Linked DNA regions of Cricetulus griseus. The protein of the gene in region 1 purifies or fractionates together with the protein of each later gene. This does not show direct contact. Links are inferred from orthologs where the notes say so. Each region holds a gene or a part of one and is shown in the gene's direction. Other genes may lie near its edges.

Region 1 (10,496 bases):
GGCTTAACCTTTCAGCTTTTTGCCTCATCCTAGAGGTGTATAGCACCACACATGGCTACATTAGCTTTTATTGTTATTTTGTCCTCTCTTACCGTATCCCAGATTTGCAGTTTGATTTGTTTTCCGTCAATGTTGACCATACGGGCTCCAAACTCCACACCTGTCAGGGAAGGCCAAGAGAATGAATACGACTGTCATGAACACATACATGATAATCCAGAGGCTCACACTTTCCCCTTCCCCCAAAGGGTTACAATGATTCCTTTGTCTTCCCACACTGACATTCAGCTCATTACAACTACTTACTGCTCAATTAAGATTGTGTTCCTTTTGGTTTCTTTTCTAGAATTAAAAATCCATGGACACTGTGGGATGCAGCTCACTTGATAAAGTATTTGGCTAGCATGTCCCTGGATTCAATCCCTAGAACCAAATAAAATTGAGCACGGGGTTGGAGAGATGGCTCAGTAGTAAAAGCAAAGCACGTGCTGCTCTTGTAGAGGAACAGAATTTGGTTTTCAACACCCTCATCAGATAGCTTAGAACTTCCCTTAGCTCCAGCTCCAAGGGATTCCTTTCCTAGACTCCATGGGGACCTATACACACACACACACACACACACACACACACACACACACACACACACACACACACACACACACACACCAAAACCCCTTAACTGGGCATGGCAATACATGCCTGAGATCCCAGCTCTCAGGAGGTGGAGGCAGTAGGAGAACCAGGATCAGAAGTTCAAAGTCACCATCACTTGCATAATAAACTCAAGGTTGGCCTGAGGCTGCACAGGTTTTAAAAAAAATCACTTTCTACAGCTGTGTGTATAATTCAGTGGTAGTGCAATTGCAAAAGATGTAAGTCTCTTGGTTTAATCCCTAGCACCCAAAATAAGTAAGTGGATTCTAAGTGATAATATACCCAAATGTAGATAAGGGAATAAAATATTCTCACTGTTCTGATTTTACAATCAGGGCAAAATTTACTGTGTTAACACCCTAGTGAGGAGGGCAGAGCCAGAGAGATGGTTCAGTGGTTAAGACCATTGGTTGTTCTTCCAGAGATCTGGAGTTCAATTCCCAGAAACCACATGGTGGCTCACCACCATCTATAATGAGATCTGGTACCCTCTTCTGGTGTGCAGGCAGAACACTGTATAATTGTAAATAAGTAAATCTTAAAAAAAAATCAATGCATATAAAATAAATAAATAAATCTTAAAAAACAAAAAACAAAAAACCCTAGGGGGCTAGAGAGATGGCTCAGTGGTTAAGAACACTGACTGCTCTTAGAGAGAACCAGAGTTTGGCTCTCAACTACTTGTAACTCCAGCTCCAGGGAACTCAACAATTTCTGGACCCTGCAGATACATGTGCAAATAGATATAGATATACATTCAAATAAAAATAAATCTGAGGGGGGATGGAAAAGACCATGTGTGTGTCCCCAAGGCTAGTTCTTTCCCTAGGTCTTGTTTTACAAATTCTGGTAATAAACTAACACAATCAGTTGATTTATTATAAGGCCTTATAATAATGACTAAGATTCTAGATTATCTTTATGAGCCTTAAGAAAAGCGACAGATGTTGGGCAGAGGTGGTGGTGCACATCTTTAATCCTATCACTTGGGAAGCAGATACAGGCAGATCTTAGTGAGTTCTAGGCCAGCCTGATCTACAAAGTGAGTTCCAGGACAGCCAAGACTGTTGCACAGAGAAACCCTGTTTCAAAAAACCAACCAACAAACCAAACAAACAAAAAACCAAAACCTAAACCCAGAGCAGTTACTATAACAATTTGCAAATAATGTCTGCAGAACCTGTATCCACTACAAAGTAAGTTCCAGGACATCAAAGTTACACAGAAAAACCCTGTCTCAATGAAAAACAAGAGAGAATGTACAGCCACTGTAGGGAAATTTTTGTGATAAATAGTTTCCATTAAATGAATTATAAAGCTACAATTCATAGAAAAAAATTGAGAAAATTTGCAATTATAGGAAAAATAAAACTAAAAAATAGATAATTAATTTTTTCTTTTCAGATTCATTTATTTGAGGCTGGAGAGACAGCTCAGCAGTCAAGAGCATAGGCTGGTCCTGTAGGAGCCTGGGGTTCAATTCCCGGGATCCACATGCAGCTCACAACTGTCTGTAACTCCAGTTCAGGAGATCTGACACCATCACAGAGACATGTATGTGGGCAAAACACCAACACACATAAAAAATCTTTGAAACAAAGATCTATTTGTTATGTATGCAGTGTTTTGCCTGCATGTATGCTTGCACACCAGAAGAGGGCACCAGATCTCATTATAGATGTTTGCACCCCCAAGAGGTAGATAAATTTTTAGAAATGTTATACTGAAATCTGACTATGTAATATTTAATTCAAAGGACTTCTAAACTGTTTGAAAGTTATTTTCTAGCTGGGCTTTGGTGGCACACGCCTTTAATTCCAGCACCTGGGAGTCAGAGGCAGGCGAATCTCTGTGAGTTCCAGGCTAGCCTGGTCTACAGAGTGAGTGCCAGGACAGCCTCCAAAGCAATACAGAGAAACCCTGCTGGAAAAAACAAAAAGTACTTCCTTTATTTTTAAGATTTATTTATTATATGCAGTGTTCTGCCTGCATGTATGTCTGTGCACCAGATCTCATTATGGATGCTTGTGAGCCACCATGTGGTTCCTGGGAATTGAACTCAGGATGTCTAGAAGAGCAGACAGTGCTCTTAACCTCTTTGCCATCTCTCCAGCCCAGTATTTCCTTCTTTCTTTTTTAGGCTTTTAAAGTTTTATGCATGTAAGTGTCTGCCTGCATGTAAGTATGTGTGCTACATGTGTGCCTGTTACACCTCCATGTGGAGGTCAGAAGAGGACAACAGATCCTTCTGCAACTGGAGTGACAGAGATTATGAGCTGCCATTCAGGTGCTGGCAATTGAACCTGGCAAGAGCAGCCAGTGCCCTTAGCCAGGGCTAAGTCATCTCTCCAGCCCCCTTGAAAGACTTTCTTGGCAGTGTCTCAGAATACCCACTAGTTCTATGTATGAAGCAGGACTTCTTTACTATAATTCTGAAATTATTTTCATTTGCAATTAAGAAAGTTGCCGGAGGCAGGCGGATCTGTGAGTTCAAGGCCAGTCTGGTCTACAGAGCAAGTTCTGGGACCACAAGGCTGTCTTGAAAAGCCACAGAAAGAAAGAAGGAAAGAAAGAAAGGAAGGAAGGAAGGAAGGATTATTAACCAGAAATAGCCTATCTCAAAGCAGTTTGGAAACTGGCAAACTGATAAGGCTTTTGACATTCTTCTATTTCAAGGTAAAATTCACCTCAATATTTCAAAAACAGTCCTGTTAAAAACATTGCATCATAAGTCAGACAATTCCTCCCCTTTTCTATTTTCATACAGTATTTTGCACATAGCACAAGGAATTCAGATTTTCAAGATTACTAATCTAGTTTACCTTCAGGAATGCTATAATACCAATTCAGTCATCCTATGTAGATATCCTTTCCCTATATAGAATATTTCTACTTTAAGGTGCTATAATCTATAAGAAAGATATAGAAATCGCTTCTGGCTATTACCTCAATAAAAATCAAAAGTTACTTTTTGAAAAAACATCAGTCAATTTTTCTTTCTTTCAGAAAAGTTAAGAATGTAATTTCGGGGGCTGGAGAGATGTCTCAGAAGTTAGGAGCACTGGCTCTTCCAGAGGACCTGGATTCAATTCCCAGCACCCATATGGCAGCTCCCAACTGTCTGTGACTACAGTTCCAAGGAATCTAGCACCCTCAAACAGAAGGTAAAACACCAATTCATATAAAATAGAAATAAATTATTTTTAAAAAGAATGTAATTTTAATGAGTAAGAAACTAAAACACTGGGGCTGGAGAGGTGGCTCCAAAGTTAAGAGCACTTCACTGCTCTTCCCGATGCCCTGAGTTCAATTCCCAGCACCCTCTTCTGGTGTGCATGAAGACAGAGCACTCATATTCATAAAACACACACACAAATAAATAAATAAACTAAAACAACAACAAAAACCAAACAAACAAAACAGGCTGAGCACATCTAATCCCAGCATTTATGAGATGGAGGCAGTAAGATCAAGGCCTGTTCAAGGTCATCTTCAGATTACTCATGGAGTACAAAGCCAGTCTTCAAAAAACAAAAACAAAAACTTATTAAGCCTGTGATGGTGCATGCCCCTAATCACAGCACTTGGAGGCTGAGGCAGAAGGATATCTGGGAATTCATGGCCAGTGTGGAATACAGAGTGAATCTGAGGCTAGCCTGGACTACATAGCCAGAACTTGTCTCAAAAAAGAGGAGGAAGGACTGAGATGACTCTTAAATTGGCTTTATCCTCTCCAACACAAAAAGAATCGATGTCGGAGTTTACTTCGAAAAACATGTGAGGTTGGTAGTTAACCACAAACTACAGATGAGTTTCTGAATAAGCAGTTGTGTTTTCGTGGGATTTTTTTTTTTTTTTTGCAGAAACATACAAGTTGCATTTAAAGAAAAATTCCTATGACAACTAGTGTTTATCTCACATCCCTCTCTAACGTTACCTTTCCATTATTTACCCTCTATTTACCGGCTTCTATCATTTTTCATATGGCACGGCTTAGGTCTAAGGCGGGGAGGCGCAACTTTTTCCTTAGAATACTGAGACTGTTAACTTTCTCCTTCAGCAGTTCAGCCAGCCAGCTTTTATCTATCTGTTCTGGAACGAGGGGATACGCTTACCTATTGTGAGGTCGTGCACAGGCTGGAACCGCTTATCGGTGAACTGCAGGAGGAGACATGACTTCCCCACACCTGAAAACAGACAGTGCGGAGTAGGCACGCCACCCGGGAAACCGCGGGCTCCCAGGCGGGGCACAGGGTCTAAGGAAAAGACAGAGCCCCGCCCCCGGAGTTCGCCCCGCCCCCTCCGCGCCACTCCGCTCGCCCGGCCCACTCGTCCCGCCCCGCCCCCAGGCCGATTTTGGAGGTGGGATCCCCGCCCAAGCCCCGAAGGCGGTCCACCTGCGGGTTACCTGTGTCTCCGATGATGATGTACTTGAAGAGATAAGCGTAAGTCATGGTCCCGAGGCGTCTGTGTTCCGGTCCGCCTGATTTCTACAGCCACTTACCTCCGTCCTCTCTAGCCACTCACTCTACCGATCTCCTTATTTGCCTCCGCTCCAGCCCTTCTAGCTCAGGCCGCGTCTCTATTGCTCTCCCCAGAAATCCTCCCTGGATCCGGAGTACCCGACGCCGCCTCTAGGGCCGCCCCGCGCTCTTCTACATGCCATTATCCCACCAAGCTCCAGGGGGCGACAGCGAGCCTTCGGGCAGCTCGAATCGCGACTGGTTCGGCCAGGACTCCGTCCAATCAGCGGAGAGCGACGCTCCTCTTTGAGGAAGTGACGCGTTCGGAACCCAGTGGGTCCGGTGGGAGCGATGCGGACACTGGGACGCTGGTAGTGGTGCTGTGAAGATGGAGGTACGCGCGGGGGGTCTGGAGGGTTGACGAGCAGCGCGGCCGACTAGATGGAAGCAGAAGCGGGAAGCCGGACAGCGGGGAGCGAGGGGTGCTCGGGAGGGCTGGGAGGCCCGGGGTCCCCGCGCGCCCCTGCTTCGCTCACTTATCCCCGTGGCTTTTTATTTATTTATTTGTTTTTGGTTTACAGTTTCCCGGAGGAAATGACAATTACCTGACCATCACTGGGCCCTCGCATCCTTTCCTGTCAGGGGCCGAGGTGAGCAAAAGCTGCCGACGCTGGGGCGCGGGAGGGCCTAGGCAGCGGTTGGGGCCGGACGGTGGGGGAGAGCGCGGGGGCGGACGGGAGCTGGGGAGGACAGTGGCCGAGGCTTCGAGAGCCTCTGAGGACTCTGAGCGGTGCGGTGGGGGGACGAACGGGAAGCGTCTGTCATCAGAAAACCAGGATGTTGAAGAGCTTCACTGCCTGTTTAAGGAAGGAGTCCGGTTCTGAATGTGGAGAACGAGTGGGATTGTCTGCCCTGGTTCGGGTGAAGTAGTTGCAACAATCTTGGGAAGATAGCAAGGAAGAAATTTGTTTTTTTTTTTTTTTCAGTAAAGAAAACCTGATAAGAAAGTAGTTTATGTAGCAGGGGTTAACCTCGGACAGGTGTTAATTCTTGAACTCTGTAAGTGGTCTTTTAAACTTGAAATTTCTGATAAAAGTGGCTACTTTCACCAACGTGGTTTCTGCTCGCTTTGCTAATGAAGGATAGAAGGAAAGAAATAGCCGCCAGAGAACATAAAAAGAGTAGAGTATACCTTGTTTGCCAGTGAGTACAAACTTTGAGCAGATAACTTCACTTTTGGATCACAGTTGTCAAGTTAACTATAATAATAGGGTTTGTTTTGTTTTGCCTTTTTTTTTTTTCCTCCAAGCCAGGGTTTCCCTGTGTAGATTTGGTGCCAGTCCTAACACTCCCTCTGTAGACCAGGCAGGTCTTGAACTCTCAGAGATCCGCTTGCTTGTTTTGCTTTTTAAAGATGGTGTGAAGTAGAAATAATGATTGATGGAGACTGTAAGACAGCAATTCACAACCGGTGAGTCAGGACCCTTGGGGAGTCGAGTGACCCCTTCACAGGAGTTGCATGCCAGATATTTACATTGTGATTCATAACAGTTGCAAAATTACAGTGTGAAGTAGCAACAATATAATTTTATAGTTGGGGGGTCATCTCAACATGAGGAACTATATTAAAGGGTCACAGCATTTGGAAGGTATTCGTCATCTCTGGCAGTCTGCTAGTTTATTTTTTAATTTACAATTATTGAATGTTTTCCTAAACAAGGGAAAGTGTGATTCAAATGAATGGCAAAATTGGAAAGAAACTCAATCTTGAACTTGTTCCTTCCAAGTGAGGTTTAGTTTTATTGTTTGAAGTGCCATAAATCTCATTGTCATTATTCATAGGAAAATGCATTTAAAAAGCAAATACAAGCAATTACAAATGTAGTGTTACACACCTTTAATCCCAGCACTTGGGAGGCAGAGGCAGGTAGATCTCTTTTGAGTTTGAGGCCATCCTGGTCTACATAGTGAGTTCCAGAACTGCTAGAGCTACATAGAGAGATTCTGTCTCAAAAAAAAAAAAAAAAGTAAACACAGTTTTCAAATTCATCCCACCAGCCCTTTTTATGGAGTTGAATAGTCAAAAAGCAGTTACATGAGAGATGGCACCTTTTACATCCAGGGAGCTATGGCTGGATAGTGGAGCCTTCCACCTGCTGTGTTCCAGAACCTTGATCTACGGCACTGACCGAAAAAGGAAGGAAATTTCCAGGCTTTCATCAGCCCTTCATTTTTAGTGAGAGAAGGGGACGCACAACTAAATTTTTTTTTAAAGATTTATTTATTTATTTATTTATTTTATCTATTATGTATACAACATTCTGCTTCCATATATATCTGCACACCAGAAGAGGGCACCAGATCTCATTGTGAGCCACCATGTGGTTGCTGGGAATTGAACTCAGGACCTCTGGAAGAGCAGTTGATACTCTTAACCTCTGAGCCATCTCTCCAGCCCACACAACTAAATTTTAAGCTTAATTTCAGTAGCTTCCTTTAAGCCTAGGTACTGCTATTGGGTTTGTTTTTTTGTTTGTTTTGAGACAGGGTTTCTCTTTGTAGACCTGGCTGTCCTGGAACTCACTCTGTAGACCAGGTGAGCCTTGGACTCTTAGATCTGCCTGCCTCTGTCTTGAAAGTGCTGGGTTTAAAGACCAACACTGCCTGGCCTGTTAATTTACAACTCTTACTCCTTCTTATTTCTATCCCTCTTGTGGTGAATTTTTTTGTTTTGTTTTGTTTTTCGAGACAGGATTTCTCTGTGGCTTTGGAGGCTTGTCCTGGCCTACTAGCTTTTGTAGACCAGGCTACAGGAACTCACAGAGATCCACCTGCCTCTGCCTCCCGAGTGCTGGGACTAAAGGCATGTGCCACCACTGCCTGATAGTGGTGGTGAATTTTTAAATTATTTTGTTTTTGTTTTGAGGGGATGGTTTCACTATGTAGTCTTGACTTGAGTCAAACTCAATATGTGACCTGGCTGGCTTTTTATCTGCCTTTGCTTCCTGAATACTGGGATTAAAGGTGTCTTACACACCACCATGCCTGGCTTTTAATCTTTTTTTTTTTTTCTCAGAGTTTTTTTTTTTTTTTTTTTTTTTTTTTTGAATTAGAAACAAGATTGTTTTATATGGCAATCCCAGTTCCCTTCTCCCTCATCCTCCCTACCATGCTCCCCTCCCCAACTAAAACCCTACCTATCACATATCCTTTCTGCTCCTCCTGCATGGTGAGGCCTTCCATAGGGTGTCATCAGAGTTTATCGTATCCTTTGGGATAGGGCCTAGGCCCACCTGGCTTTTAATCTTTACATTAATGGGTGTAAAAGTTTTGTTGTCTTCGGTCTTACTTTGAGCCTTGTGAATAACTTAAAAGAGGGTGACTTTTTTTTTTTTTTTAAGCAATCCTTTTTTTGAAGAATGGTAGTTTTTCAAGTTGTTTTTTTCCAAAAAGAACAATAGCTGCTCATATAGGATACCAACCATAAAATAATTGAAAAATTCCATTGTGTTCAAGTTAGGAACTCTATATCAAAAGGCATCGTTATAGGGCTAGAGAGATGGATCAGCGGTTAAAGCACTGACTGTTGTTACAGAGTATCTGGATTCAGTTCCTAGCATCCACACGATAGGACAAAAAGGCCTGTAACTAGTTTTCACACCCTCTTCTGACCTCTGTAGGCACTGCACACATGCAGAACACAGGCATACATGCAGGCAAAACATTCATTTATATAAGTAAAAATAAGTATTGCTGCTTTTTTTTTTTTTTGATGGCATTGAGGCTAAAGATATTGCTGAGAAATTTAAAGCCTTTGTTGCTCTTACAGAGGACCCAGTTTTAATTTCCAGCATACACGTGGTGGTTCACAACCATCTATAACTTCAGTTCCAGGGGATTTGATTCTCTTTTCTAGCCTCTGTGAGCACTAGACACGAATATGGTGCTGATACATACCCATACATATAAACTAAATCAAAAGGAGTGATGGCAAAAGCCTTTAACTCCAGCACTTTTCAAGGCAGAAGCAGGCAGCTATCTGTGAATTCAAGGCCAGCCTGGTCTTCAAATTGAGTTCCAGGACAGCCAGGACTGTTATGCAGAGAAACTCTTGTCTTAGAACCTCCTCCCAAAAAAAGACATTATAACTACATGTATGAAATTTGTGTTTATAAATAAATTATAATTACATGTACAGAATTTCATATATGAAATTCTGAAAAAAATTAGAAAAGATATCATTAACAAATAGGAGCTCTAGAAGAGAAGATATTTATAATACTCACATGTAAGTCATATTTAGAATATATGAAGCACTAGTACAGTTTGAAAATGAACACGTTTGGTTTTTTTTTATAATCTATTTTTATTTCTTGTACATTGGTGTTTTACCTGAGTGTATGTCTGTGTGAGGGTGTCAGGTTCCCTGAAACTGGCGTTACAGCTGTGAGCTGAATTGAACCTAGGTCCTCTGGAAGAGCAGTCAGTGCTCTTAACTGCTGAACTATCTCTCAGTCCCGAAAATGAACAGAAATTTCAACAGTCAATTCACAAAGAGTCCATCCAAACTGCCACTAGGTATATGAAAATTTTCCATTTAAAAGAATGAGGAGTGTCAGCGGGGCCGTGGTGGCACATGCCTTTAATCCTAGCACTTGGGAGGCAGAGGCAGGTGGATCTTTGTGAGTTTGAGGCCAGCCTGGTCTTCAAAGAGAGTTCCAGGACAGTCTCCAACCCTACAGAGAAACCCTGCCTTGAAAAACCAAAAAAAAAAAAAGTGTCAGAGAGAAAGGAGTAGTATTATTGCACTGCTTCAGATAGGAAGCTTGTGTATTTGCAGATTTAGTCTTCTGTTTCTCTCCGTTTGGTTGGCTCATAGTGCTTTGTATGTGACCACTACTTTTAATCCCAGAACTCAGGAGGTTGGGAGGGGGGCAGTTCTCTGCCTTCCAGGCCAGCTAGTCTATTTCTGTTATATCAGATTTTCTTTTCAGTTTCATTGTTGGCTCTTATGAGATAGGGTCTCATCTAGCCAAGGCTGGCCTCCAATTCCCCATGTAGCTGAAGGTGATGCTGACTTTCCTAACCCTTTGGTTTCTACCTTCCAGTTCAGTGGTTCTTTAACCTGTGGGTCTCAACCCCTTTGGGGGTTGAACAACCCTTTTACAGTTCATAACAGCAAAATTACAAAGTAGCAATGAAGATAATTTTATGGTTGGGGTCACCACACAGGAGGAACTGTATTAAAGGATTGCAGCATTAGGAAGGTTGAGGACCACTGTTCTAAGTGCTGGGATTGTAAGTGTGCATCGTCACACCTAGTGTACTGTGTTGTTGTTGTTAGTTAGTTGTTTTTTTTTAATTATTTTATGTGCATTG
Region 2 (10,475 bases), on another chromosome or scaffold:
CCTGGCTTATCCTGGTCGCCTCACCGCAATCAATGAATTTCTTGGAAAAGTGGCCTGGCTGGTGCACAGACCACAGAGCCTCTGGAGACCCAGGCTGTTCTGTCTAGTATTTGATGGTTTTGTGGAGCATCGCTGAGGAAGTTTGGACAGAGGGCTATGGCATCCCCAAATGCCTGGAATAATGGGCAGGAGAGCTGTCCCAGGAGGTGCTTTTTCTTAAGTTTTTTTTTCATGTTTCCCTTCTTGCTCTTTTTTGTTCTTTCTTTTGTTCTTTCTTTTCTAACTATCTCAGATTATAACTTTTGTTTCTACTTTGAGACAGGACCTTATGTTGCCTAGGTTAGCCTCAAAGTCACTATGTAGCCAAGGATAACCTTGACTTTTTTTTTTTTTGAGACAGGGTTTCTCTGTGTAGCTTTGGAGCCTATCTTGGCACTTGCTCTGGAGACCAGGCTAGCCTCGAACTCACAGAGATCTGCCTGCCTCTGCCTCCCGAGTGCTGGGATTAAAGGCCTTGACTTTATGAGCCTCCTATCTCCATTTCCCGAGAGCTAGGATCACAGGCATCTACCACCATGCCTGTTTATACTCCCCTCTGTGGAATTGGGGATGGCTCTTAGGCTCTGTTTGTGCTAGGCAAGTACTCTACTGTTTGAGCCATATCCCCTCCAGAACCACACCAAACAAAAATGACAGCCAGTCCTCAAAAGGGAAAGGACAAAATGTCTGCTAACAGACTGAGGGAGACACCTTCCATCCATCCTAGGCAAGCACATTCAACTGGGAGTGGTGGCACGTACCACTGAGACAGGCAGGTGGATCTCTGTGGGTTCAAGACCAGCCTGGCCTACAGATCGAGTTCCAGGACAGCCAGGGCTATATAGTGAAGTCTTGTCTCAAAAGGAAAAAGGGGAAGAAAGGAGGGAGGAAGGGAAGCCCTTACTTTGCAAGCCTGGCAGTTATGAGTTCAGTTCCTGGGACCCACAAAGAGAGACCTGGAACAAACCACCACCAAAAAGTTGTCCCCAGACCTCTGCAATGTGCTGTGGCAAGCATGAGCACAAGGATAGATAACTAGTTAATTAAATAAGTATTTAAAATAGGAAGGAAAAGGAACACATGCCTGCTGGGACCCGAGGCAGCCAATTAACATTCCTGGCTGTAGAGATGGCCCAGTGGTTAAGAGCACTTGCTGCTTTTCCAGAGGACCTAGGTTTGATTCCCAGCACCCACATGGTGGCTCATAACCATCTATCACACCAGTTCTAGAGGACCCAATTCCCTCTTCTGACCTCCATGCAGGCCAAAGTGCATGCACATAAAATAAAAATAAATCTTAAAAAAAAAATTCCTGACTGTGGGTTCCTATGCTTCTAAAAAAGGATGTGAACTAGCAAATGAAGGGATGTCACACAAATGGACATAGCTTTGGTGCATGTCGAGGTTTCTGCTTAGTAGCAAGATAGGAACAGCCACCTAGCATATGAAATTCAATGTCCAGAATAGACCAAAACAGAAAGGAAACAGATTGGAAGTTACCAGGAGATAGAGTAGAAGATGGGAGGTGACTGGTAATGGGACAGGGTTTCTTTGCCATTGGTGAAGATATTTTAGCAATCAGGTCTGATCAGGTGGGGTAGGTCTGTCATTCCAACTGCTATGGACGATGAGGTCAGAAGACTACAAATTCAAGGTCAGCCTGGCAACTTTGTGAGACTGTGGCTTTTCAGTAAATCAGTGAAATGGGGTGGGAGGTGGAGCTCAGGGGTAGAGCAGTTCCCAGTCAAAGCGGGTCAGATCCCACAGCCTGAGGGATGGTAACAAGACAGAGAGCCTCGAGGGCCCTGTTACATCGGTCCGATGGAGGCAGGGAATAAAACAAAATAAGAAAACGACCTTCAATGTGAACAAGGGCAGCGATCTCTTAGGGGAATGGGTCTTGTGCATGGGGGGTGGGGGTGGGTATGGGAAGAGGAGCTTCTAGGGTGAAAGATTCCGTTCACAGGTTTGTTACCCTGCAGTCTCAAATTTGTAATTACCAATGGAGTTTGGTGTGGCCTTATCAGGAAGGGCCTGGATGTTCTCCTGGGAGAGGGGGAGATTCCTTAGTTTATGAGTCCATGCCACTCTTCAGGATCCAGTGAGGGAGCTAGAGGCAAGCAGATGATATCAGAGTATCCTTCCTTAGGAGGCCACACCACTTTGCACTTCCTTATCAGGATCTTCCTTGTTGGTCCTTAGCCTGCTCATGGCGGCATGGTGGCCAGGAAGCAGAGTCACAGGAAGGAAGCAGTCCTGTGCTCTTAACCAATGACCCATCTCTCCAGCAACTCCCTTTTAACAATTTAATTTTATGTACATTGTGGTTTTGCCTGAAGTCATGTCTGTGTGAGGGCATCAGATCCCTTGGAACTGGAGTTACAATTTGTGAGCTGCCATGTGGGTGCTGGGAATTGAACCTGAGACCTCTGGAAGGGCAGCCAGTGCTCTTAACCGCTGAGCCGTCTCCAACTTTGTTTATTGTTTCAAGAGGGTTTTCTTTGTGCAACAGCTCTGGCTGTCTTGGAACTCACTCTGTAGACCAGACAGATCTATTGATTTAAATATAGATTTAAAAAATCTGTATGTTCTCAGGGACACGCCTTTAATCCCAACACTTGGGAGGCAGAGGCAGGTGGATCTCTGTGAGTTCCAGGCCAGCCTGGTCTACAGAGTGAGTTCCAGGAGAGCTAAGGCTGTTACACAGAGAAAACAAAACACAACAAAACAAAAATCTGTATGTTCAGACTTCCTATAGGGACTGTGATGTGGCGGTATTGGTAGAGTGGTCTCCTGGCATGGGCTCTTTCTAGTATGGAATAGAGCAGGTTTGGCAGCCATACCTAGAATTTCAACATTCTGGAGGTGGAGGCAGGAGGAGGAGTAGCTGAAGGTCATTCTCTAACAGCTATGGGTTCCACCACTCTCAAGAGAGCCAATTCTCTGATGCTGGCATGGTTATGGACTCTGGAGGGGAACTGTCCCTTGAGGTTGCTTGATAGACAAAAAATTGTCCCCTGTACTGGCTCACTGTTATTTTCCTTTATCCGAGCATGGATTGAGTGACCTACACACCTACTGCTTGGCATCTAGAGAATTATGACAGTGTGGGCATAAAATTTAGAGTATTCCATTGGTTTCCCCATAGTAATGCACACAGTGTGTGCCACAGTTTGTTGGGCTCCTGAGGCTCCATTTAGGGATTTAATTAAACAAAAGACTGTGGATTCAGGCTATCCCTGGAATTTACCAGCTGTGTGACCTTCAACAAACCTTCTAGCCTTTCTATGCCTAGCTTTATCTGTAAAATGGGAATGATGGGGATATATAATCTCTGGGATTGTATTGGGGATTCAACGAGGTGATTCTGCTTTGTTTGACACAAGATTTTGTTCTGGAGCCTTGCCTAGCCTGCAGCTGGCCTCAAACTCACAAAGATATGCCTACCTTTGCCTCCCGGTGCTGGGATTAAAGGCATATACAACCATGCCCAGCCTGGAGGTAATTTTTTTATTAAAATATTTTATTACATTTTATTTATTTTGTATATATGTCTGCTTGGTGGTCAGAGGACAACCTCTCTTCATTAGGGTATTGGGGCTGGCAGGCTTGGTGGCAATCACCTTTACCCACTGAGCCATTTAGCTGGCTCGCACAACGAGACAATTTTTGGCTCATACAAATGAGAGTGCAGTGTCTCTATATGAATTTCCTCAGAAAGAAAGGCTTCCTCTGTTTTGTTCACCCTGCTCCACGCCTAGAAAAAACTCAGGAACAGAGTAGGCACTCTGTAAATATTTGTCTCCTTAGGGAACCGTCTTATATCCCTGTCCCCAAAGTGTCATTGGGAAGATACACTCTGCCCCAGAGGAGCCCAAGTCCCAGAAACTCCTTGAGAGCCAAACAAGATATTCACAGCAGGGCTTGGCATAGGCCCCAGACGTCAAGATGTCTACTGAGCCAGGTGCCTTGGAGTGACAAATGACACTTGTGGGACTGGTAGGCAAAAACATAGCTTGGGAGAGTAAGTTGGTGACTGAGTAAAATGGTGCAGGCAGTTGAGGGGAGCTGGGATGACTCCAGAAGCTCCACCGTTGGCGCCAGCAGCAGAAAGGAGGCCAGAGATCTGCAAGGGTGCACCCCATGCCATGCTGCTGTGGCCTGGTGAAAATGAATCTCCAGATGGGGAAGCCACCTTGCTAGGAACACACGGAAGGGAATCCGTGCATCCCTTTTGCTTTGAGAATCATGAGCTTTTGGAGTGGGGGGTGGGGAAGAGGATTTTTGTAAACTGTGAAGGGCTGCTTGGAGAGAGAAATGGGTCAGGTGGGTGTGCATTTTCAGATCCAGTTAGCCTGAGAGGCAGCACAGTTGGGGGCTCCCTGGAGAAGGGTGCCCTCGGGGAGGCGATGAAACCAGAGGCAAGCAGCAGTAGAATGTGCTGAAGCCCGGGGCGCACAGCAGCCTCTAACTCGCTTTCCTCCGCAAATTCCCATCTTATCTGCTGCCGTGCGCTCATTCAATCCAGCTCAGGCTAAATCCAGGGGAGAACATCACGGTTATTATATAACTTTCTGAGTTCAAGAAAGATAATCTAAAGATAGGTGACACCTTACAAAAGTCTCCCAACCTCTCCCTAAAATGTAAAACTGCAGAAGTGCACGCAAGAGGTACACAGTTACTGAATTATGCACTACTCACAATGGACTAACGTTTCTTTTATCTGGGGGAGGCTTTCTTTTTTTCAAATACTGGATCTTAGATACTTTATTGCAGTATTACGAAATCTTGGCAGTGCTGGGGATTGAACCCAGGGTCTCACACATACTAGACAAGCGTTCATACCACAGAGTCATACATACAGCTCTTCTTGCTCACCAATATGAGCCGGCATATTTGAATCCTCGACCCTCCAACTTCCTTCTCCTAAAGATCCTCCATGGACATCTCCAACCCAGATTGGTTCCGAGGGGTGGGTGACTGACTCCCTGGTGAGCTCCCACCCCGCCGAGTCTGCAGACATCTGCCCCAAATCAGCAGCACCGGGAGGAGATCTTAACTCTAGCAACGAGCAGCCGCCGGACAATACCCGTCTTTAACTCGCGCGCGCGCCAACTTTGCAACTTCACTCTCCCGCGGGGGGTGGGGTGGGGGTGGGGGTGGGGGCGGGGGGGTGGAGGGTGGGGGTGGGGGTCTATTCCCCGCCCCACCCTCCACTCCCGTCCCCCACCCCCACCCCCCGCCCGTTTGGCGGAAGGATCCCGCGCGCGGATGGGTGTCTCACCGTCTCTGCCAGGCCCCGCCCCTGAAGCGCGAAGGCCGCCCCCTCCCGCAGCGGCCCCGCCCTCCCGCGCCCTATGGGCCTGAAGTCCCGGCCGCCGCTGCACTCCCCGCGCGCGCATCCGTGCGCCGCCCGAGGCTGGCCTGACGAGTCGGCGGCCATTTTGTTCTTCTCGTGGTTCCAGTGGCGAGAGGAGGAGGAAGCCGGGAGCGGGGCGGCTGGGGGGGGGACCCGCCGCGGCTGCTGCTGCCACCGCCGCCGCCACCACCGCTCGTGGGGCTCGTGGCGTGAGGAAGGAGGACGTGTGAGGCCCGGGCGCGAGCCGGCGGCGGCGCCGCTGCGGGAGGGTCGGCGGCAGGACGGCGATGGCGGATATCGATAAACTCAACATCGACAGCATCATCCAACGGCTGCTGGAAGGTGAGCGGCGCGCGGGCGGGCGGGCGGGCGGGGCCGGTGGGACCAGGCCCGGTGGGGACCGGTCCTCGGAAGCCGCTTGGATCTGGGGCGCGCACACAGCGCCTCCGGGTCTAGGGACAGACCCCTTGTTTTTATTACTGCCTCTCCTGCCCTTGCTCTCACATTGTGATAAATCTGGAGTCCAAGGACCCAGTGTGACTTGGCGGGGCGACGTCCCGGGGCGACGAGAGCCCCGTCCCTTGCATCCCCCCCCCCCAAAAAAAAGCCATCCTCCCTCCGGCGCTCTTTCCCCTTGAACGTGCATCCGCACACGGGCCGAGCCGCGACCGGGGTGACAGTGTCTGTGGCTCTCTGCTCATCAGATTGTTGTCCCGAGGAGAGGGGCGCGCTGCTGCATTCAGCGAGCGCCCTGCCAGGTAGGTGCTGTTATCTTGGAAGAAACTTAAAAGACCTCGCCTGACCAAGGGCGAGTCCCGCTTCAAACCCCTGGTAGCCAAGGTCTAGACACGACCTGCCTGCCCTCTTCCACTGTTCACCCTGTGGGAGCGCAGGGCATGCGTGCCTAGTGGCTAAGGGAAGGTTAAAAATCTTTTCTTTTGTCCGACTTATGACGGGGTGGGTGGGGGGCGCTGCAGTGGGTTCCTAGTTGGTGAGAGATTAATATGACATAGGGACTCCCCACAATTCCCGACCTAATGCTGATTGGGTTCTTGACAATGTTATTAACTAGCTGGCTTTTGCTGCTTTTGCCTAAAATACTGTTGGCGTGTAAGAAACATGCCGTGAGTGGTGGTGGTGAACAGCTGCAGAGTCATTGAAAGAAAAGTAAAAAGTGTCTTTTTAATCTGTGCATTTTCTCCCCTAATACTTTATTTTATTGCTTTGTTTAGATCGGGTCTTTTTTGTTTTTGGCTTTGTTGAGACAGGGTCTCTGCAGTCCTGGCTGTCCTGGAGCTCGATGTGTGTAGATCAGGCTAGCCTCAAACTCTCAGATCCCTCTGCCTCCCCTTCCTGAGTGCTGGGGATTAAAGGCTTTTATCATCATTTCCCCTAGATAAAGTCCCACAGAGCCAGAACTGGCCTTGAACTCCTGATCCTTGTGCCTCCTCCCAAGTACTAGAAGTTATAAGCCACCAAGCCTGGGTTATGAAGTCCTGAGGATTGAACCCAAGGCTTCTTCCTACACGCTGAGTAAGCATTCCATCACCTGGGCTGCATCCCCAGCTCAGATTTCGTTGTGTTTTTTTTTTTTTTTTTTTTTTATGTTTAACACTATGCTGAAAAAGTTTTAGCAGTAAACTTGGCTCATCTTTTGTTTTTAAATTTATTTTTCACATGGGATGTGTGTGAGTGCACCCAGGCCACAGCACCCGGGATTAGAGGACAATTGGGTGTGTGTAGTTTGTTCTTATCTTTGTGTAGGCTTGCTTCATCAGCTTTCCTTTCTCCCCCTTTAAAAATTTTTGTTTTTAGATTTTATGTTTTAAGCTTTGTCTTCATATGTATGTGTTTACCACATGCATGCCTATAACCAAGGAGGTTAGAAAGGGGCATTGGGTCCTCTGGGGCTGGAGTTAGATGGTTGTGAGCCACTATCTGTGCTGGGAGCGTAGCCAGGGTTATCCCCAAGAGCAGCAAGTGCTCTTGGCTGCTGAACCATCACCTCAGCCCCCCCTTCTTTTTTCTTTTTTTTTTATGGGGGGAACAGGTTTGAAGACAGCTTTTTTCTACATAGATCAGGCTGGCCTTGAACTCAGCTCTGGGATTAAAGGTGTGTGCCACCATTGATGGGCCCCTATAGTTTCTTGAATGTTACTTTTTAAATTTTGAGACTGAGTGTCACTACCAAGCAAAGGCTAACCTGAGATTTACAGAGATCTGCCTGCCTCTGCCTCCTATAAGTGTTGGAATTGGAGACTTTACCACCATGTCCAGGCTGGTTTTTTATTTTCTTTTGAACTTAATAGAGTAGGATACTATATTTAAATGCTTTGAGAATAAGCTAGTTGCACAGTATATGTTTCTTCTTATTTCTGTATGTGAACTTAACAAAACCACAGCCTTCTGTTGAGGATGTGTGTGCTTCTCCATTAGAGAATGTGGTGTTGTGCTCTCTCTACTTTGTGTACCATCTTTAGGGCCGTCATCTCTGAACACTGGGAGTGAGATTTAAGTAATTCATAGACTCTAGAGATGGCTCAGCTGATAATTAGTGGCTCTGCCCTTAACCACGAAGACCTGATTTGATCCTCAGGACCCACAAGAACTTGAGAGGAGAACCAGACTCTCGCCTGCTTCCCTCCCTCCCCAAACGCTCCCAGCAAGTGTGTACTTGCACACCTCTACATAGTAAAATGAAATTCAGGGTTTAATTCCAAAAGGTGGAGATAAGATTTGTCACTTGATGAGGCATTTTTTCCAATTGATAATTGATTCTTTTGTAGTTGGGCACCTTACTGCCCCAACACTCTGGAGCCTGGGACACGGAAATGCAGACATTCTAGGCCAGGCTGTGTTGGATAGCAATATCTGTCTCACAGTTGGAACCCTTCCTCAAGAACTCCCAAACTTAAGAGCTATGAACGAGCTGAGAAAGGGCTTTGCAAGCGAGGGCTGTATGAACGAGATGGGACAGGGTCTTTAATAATGAGGTGTGGCCATGTGGCACACTCCTTCATCCCAGAGCGGTGAGCTGGGAGGCCAACCTGGTCTACACACCAAATTCCATGCCAGCCAGCTATCCATAGTGAGACCCTGTCTCAAAAAATCAAGGGCTGGAGAGATGGTTAAGAGCATGTTATTCTTCCAGAGGATCCAAGCTCAATTACCAGCACATGGGGCAGCTCAGTGCCTGCTATTCCAGCTCTAGAAGATGAGACACCTGGCCCCCCGATACATACATGTCATACATACATACATGTCGTAACTTGTACAGACAGATGATTAAAGATAAATTTTAACCTGGACATGGTGACACATTTTTAATCTCAGTACTGGGAAGCAGAAGCAGGTGGAACACTTTCAAATCCAGCCTGGTTTACAGAATAAATTCCATCCAGGCCACCCAAGGCTAAATAGTGACATGGTATAAACCTGTAGTCCCAGGCACTTAGGTGGAATCAGGAGGTCAAGGCTAGCTTGGACCACAGAGACCTTGTCTGACAAAACAAATAATGGGAAATTGGGGTTGGATGGTAAACACTAGTGCTTTGCAGCACTCTAACTGCAGTAGCTTTCTCCTGAGCCCCGTCCCTGTGTGGTCAGCTACTCTGATGGAAGGTCTGTTACTCTATAGCACATTCTGGTGTTAGCACGTTGCCAGCTCTATGTTCAAGCAGAACAGATTTAAATAGGAAATAGGCTAGCTGGGTTTGGCCTGGCCTCCTGCTCTGTTGTATTGGTTAAAGGGGGAGTGCGTGGAATTGGGGCACTTTCTTCGTGAAACCTCTAGCATTTTTCTTGAGTACTAAGTGTTTGTAATTGCTTCACATCTTGAGTGGGCAAGAAGTGTGTTTCTTAGCCAGGCCATGGCCATGGTGGTGCACACCTTTAATCCCAGCACTTGGGAGGCAGAGGCAGACCGTGAGTTAGAGGCCAGCCTGGTCTCCACAGTGAGTTCCAGGACAGCCAAGACTGTTACACAGAGAAACCCTGTCATGAAAAACCCATTTTTTAAAAAGTATGTTTTTGTAAAGGAAGGTCAGGAGAAGTGGCTGCGTTAATACAGAGTGCTTGCCAATTCTCATCTTTCTGAAGACAGTCTGAAGTCCTAAAAGTCTCCAAATCTGTGTGTGGCTATTCAGTGCTCCTGTTCTGTAGGTTCAGAAGCCTGTAGTTAAGGTCCTATAGGAAAGATAAGTGAGGACCATGGGCTTGGCTGTATTGAAGCAGATCTTAAAACTGAGCAGAGTCCACAGCAAGATAATTCTAACAGGGACTTCCTGTGCTTCCCAGCATGGACAGGTGTGTCCCCCCCATCCCTCACCTGGAAGGCAGAGCAGGACTCCCTCCCTTCCCTCATGATCTGCAGGTACTTTGGGGCCTTTTTTAAAAACCCACTTTGGCAAGGATGACTCCCAGAGTCTGACTGCCCCTTTGCTTGGGGGACGTGGGGTAGCAGGGCAATCCTAGGCTTTAATTGATTAATGCTGGGGCTGCTGGTATACTTCTCAGTCTAAAAATATGAGGGAGAAAGGCCCAGGTGGGGACTGCCTTGGAGCTACAGAAACCCCACAGAGGCCCCTTAAAGAAAGCAGATCCTTTTTTTTTTTTCTCTTGGTTTTTCGAGACAGGGTTTCTCTGTGTAGCTTTGGAGCCTATCCTGGCACTCGCTCTGGAGACCAGGCTGGCCTTGAACTCACAGAGATCCGCCTGCCTTTGCCTCCTGAGGGCTGGGATTAAAGGCGTGCGCCACCAACGCCTGGCTTGGAAGGAATTTTTGTCTTCATCTTGAGGTCATAACTGTGTGTCAGGAGGGTGGAGGCAAGATATGCCTTCATAGGTTCTGTGGATGTTTCCCCCTCCATTTTTGAAGGGTGTGAGTAATTTTAGGGCTTACCCAAGAGCCCTAAAGAGAAATTCATAGGATCAGATGGGCAAGGTACTGATGCCCAATTATGTTCAGCTGTGGATAGGTTCAACCTTTTTCTTTCAAGACATATTCTAATGCTGCCTTTCCACTCCCTTTGTAGTTGAGAATGACCTTGGACTCTTTGACCCTCCTGCCTCCCACCTG

The links. Proteins that work in one complex are often made in the same cells at the same time.
Region 2: the proteins of Tox4 (region 1) and Ppp1cc purify together in Homo sapiens (affinity purification with mass spectrometry; 4 studies listed by BioGRID and IntAct, with this or other methods). This does not show direct contact. The link is inferred for Cricetulus griseus from reciprocal best matches to the Homo sapiens genes TOX4 and PPP1CC.

Annotation. Positions count from the first base shown.
Region 1 is NW_023276807.1:207,372,503-207,382,998, forward strand, and holds the start of Tox4 (TOX high mobility group box family member 4), read left to right. Parts: upstream 1-5,368; 5' UTR 5,369-5,505; coding exon 5,506-5,511; intron 5,512-5,698; coding exon 5,699-5,767; intron 5,768-10,496. Other genes in the region: Rab2b (ras-related protein Rab-2B), read right to left, coding at 93-160, 4,770-4,841, 5,063-5,108. UniProt on the Homo sapiens protein: Transcription factor that modulates cell fate reprogramming from the somatic state to the pluripotent and neuronal fate. In liver, controls the expression of hormone-regulated gluconeogenic genes such as G6PC1 and PCK1.
Region 2 is NC_048597.1:102,003,884-102,014,358, forward strand, and holds the start of Ppp1cc (serine/threonine-protein phosphatase PP1-gamma catalytic subunit), read left to right. Parts: upstream 1-5,463; 5' UTR 5,464-5,685; coding exon 5,686-5,740; intron 5,741-10,475. UniProt on the Homo sapiens protein: Protein phosphatase that associates with over 200 regulatory proteins to form highly specific holoenzymes which dephosphorylate hundreds of biological targets.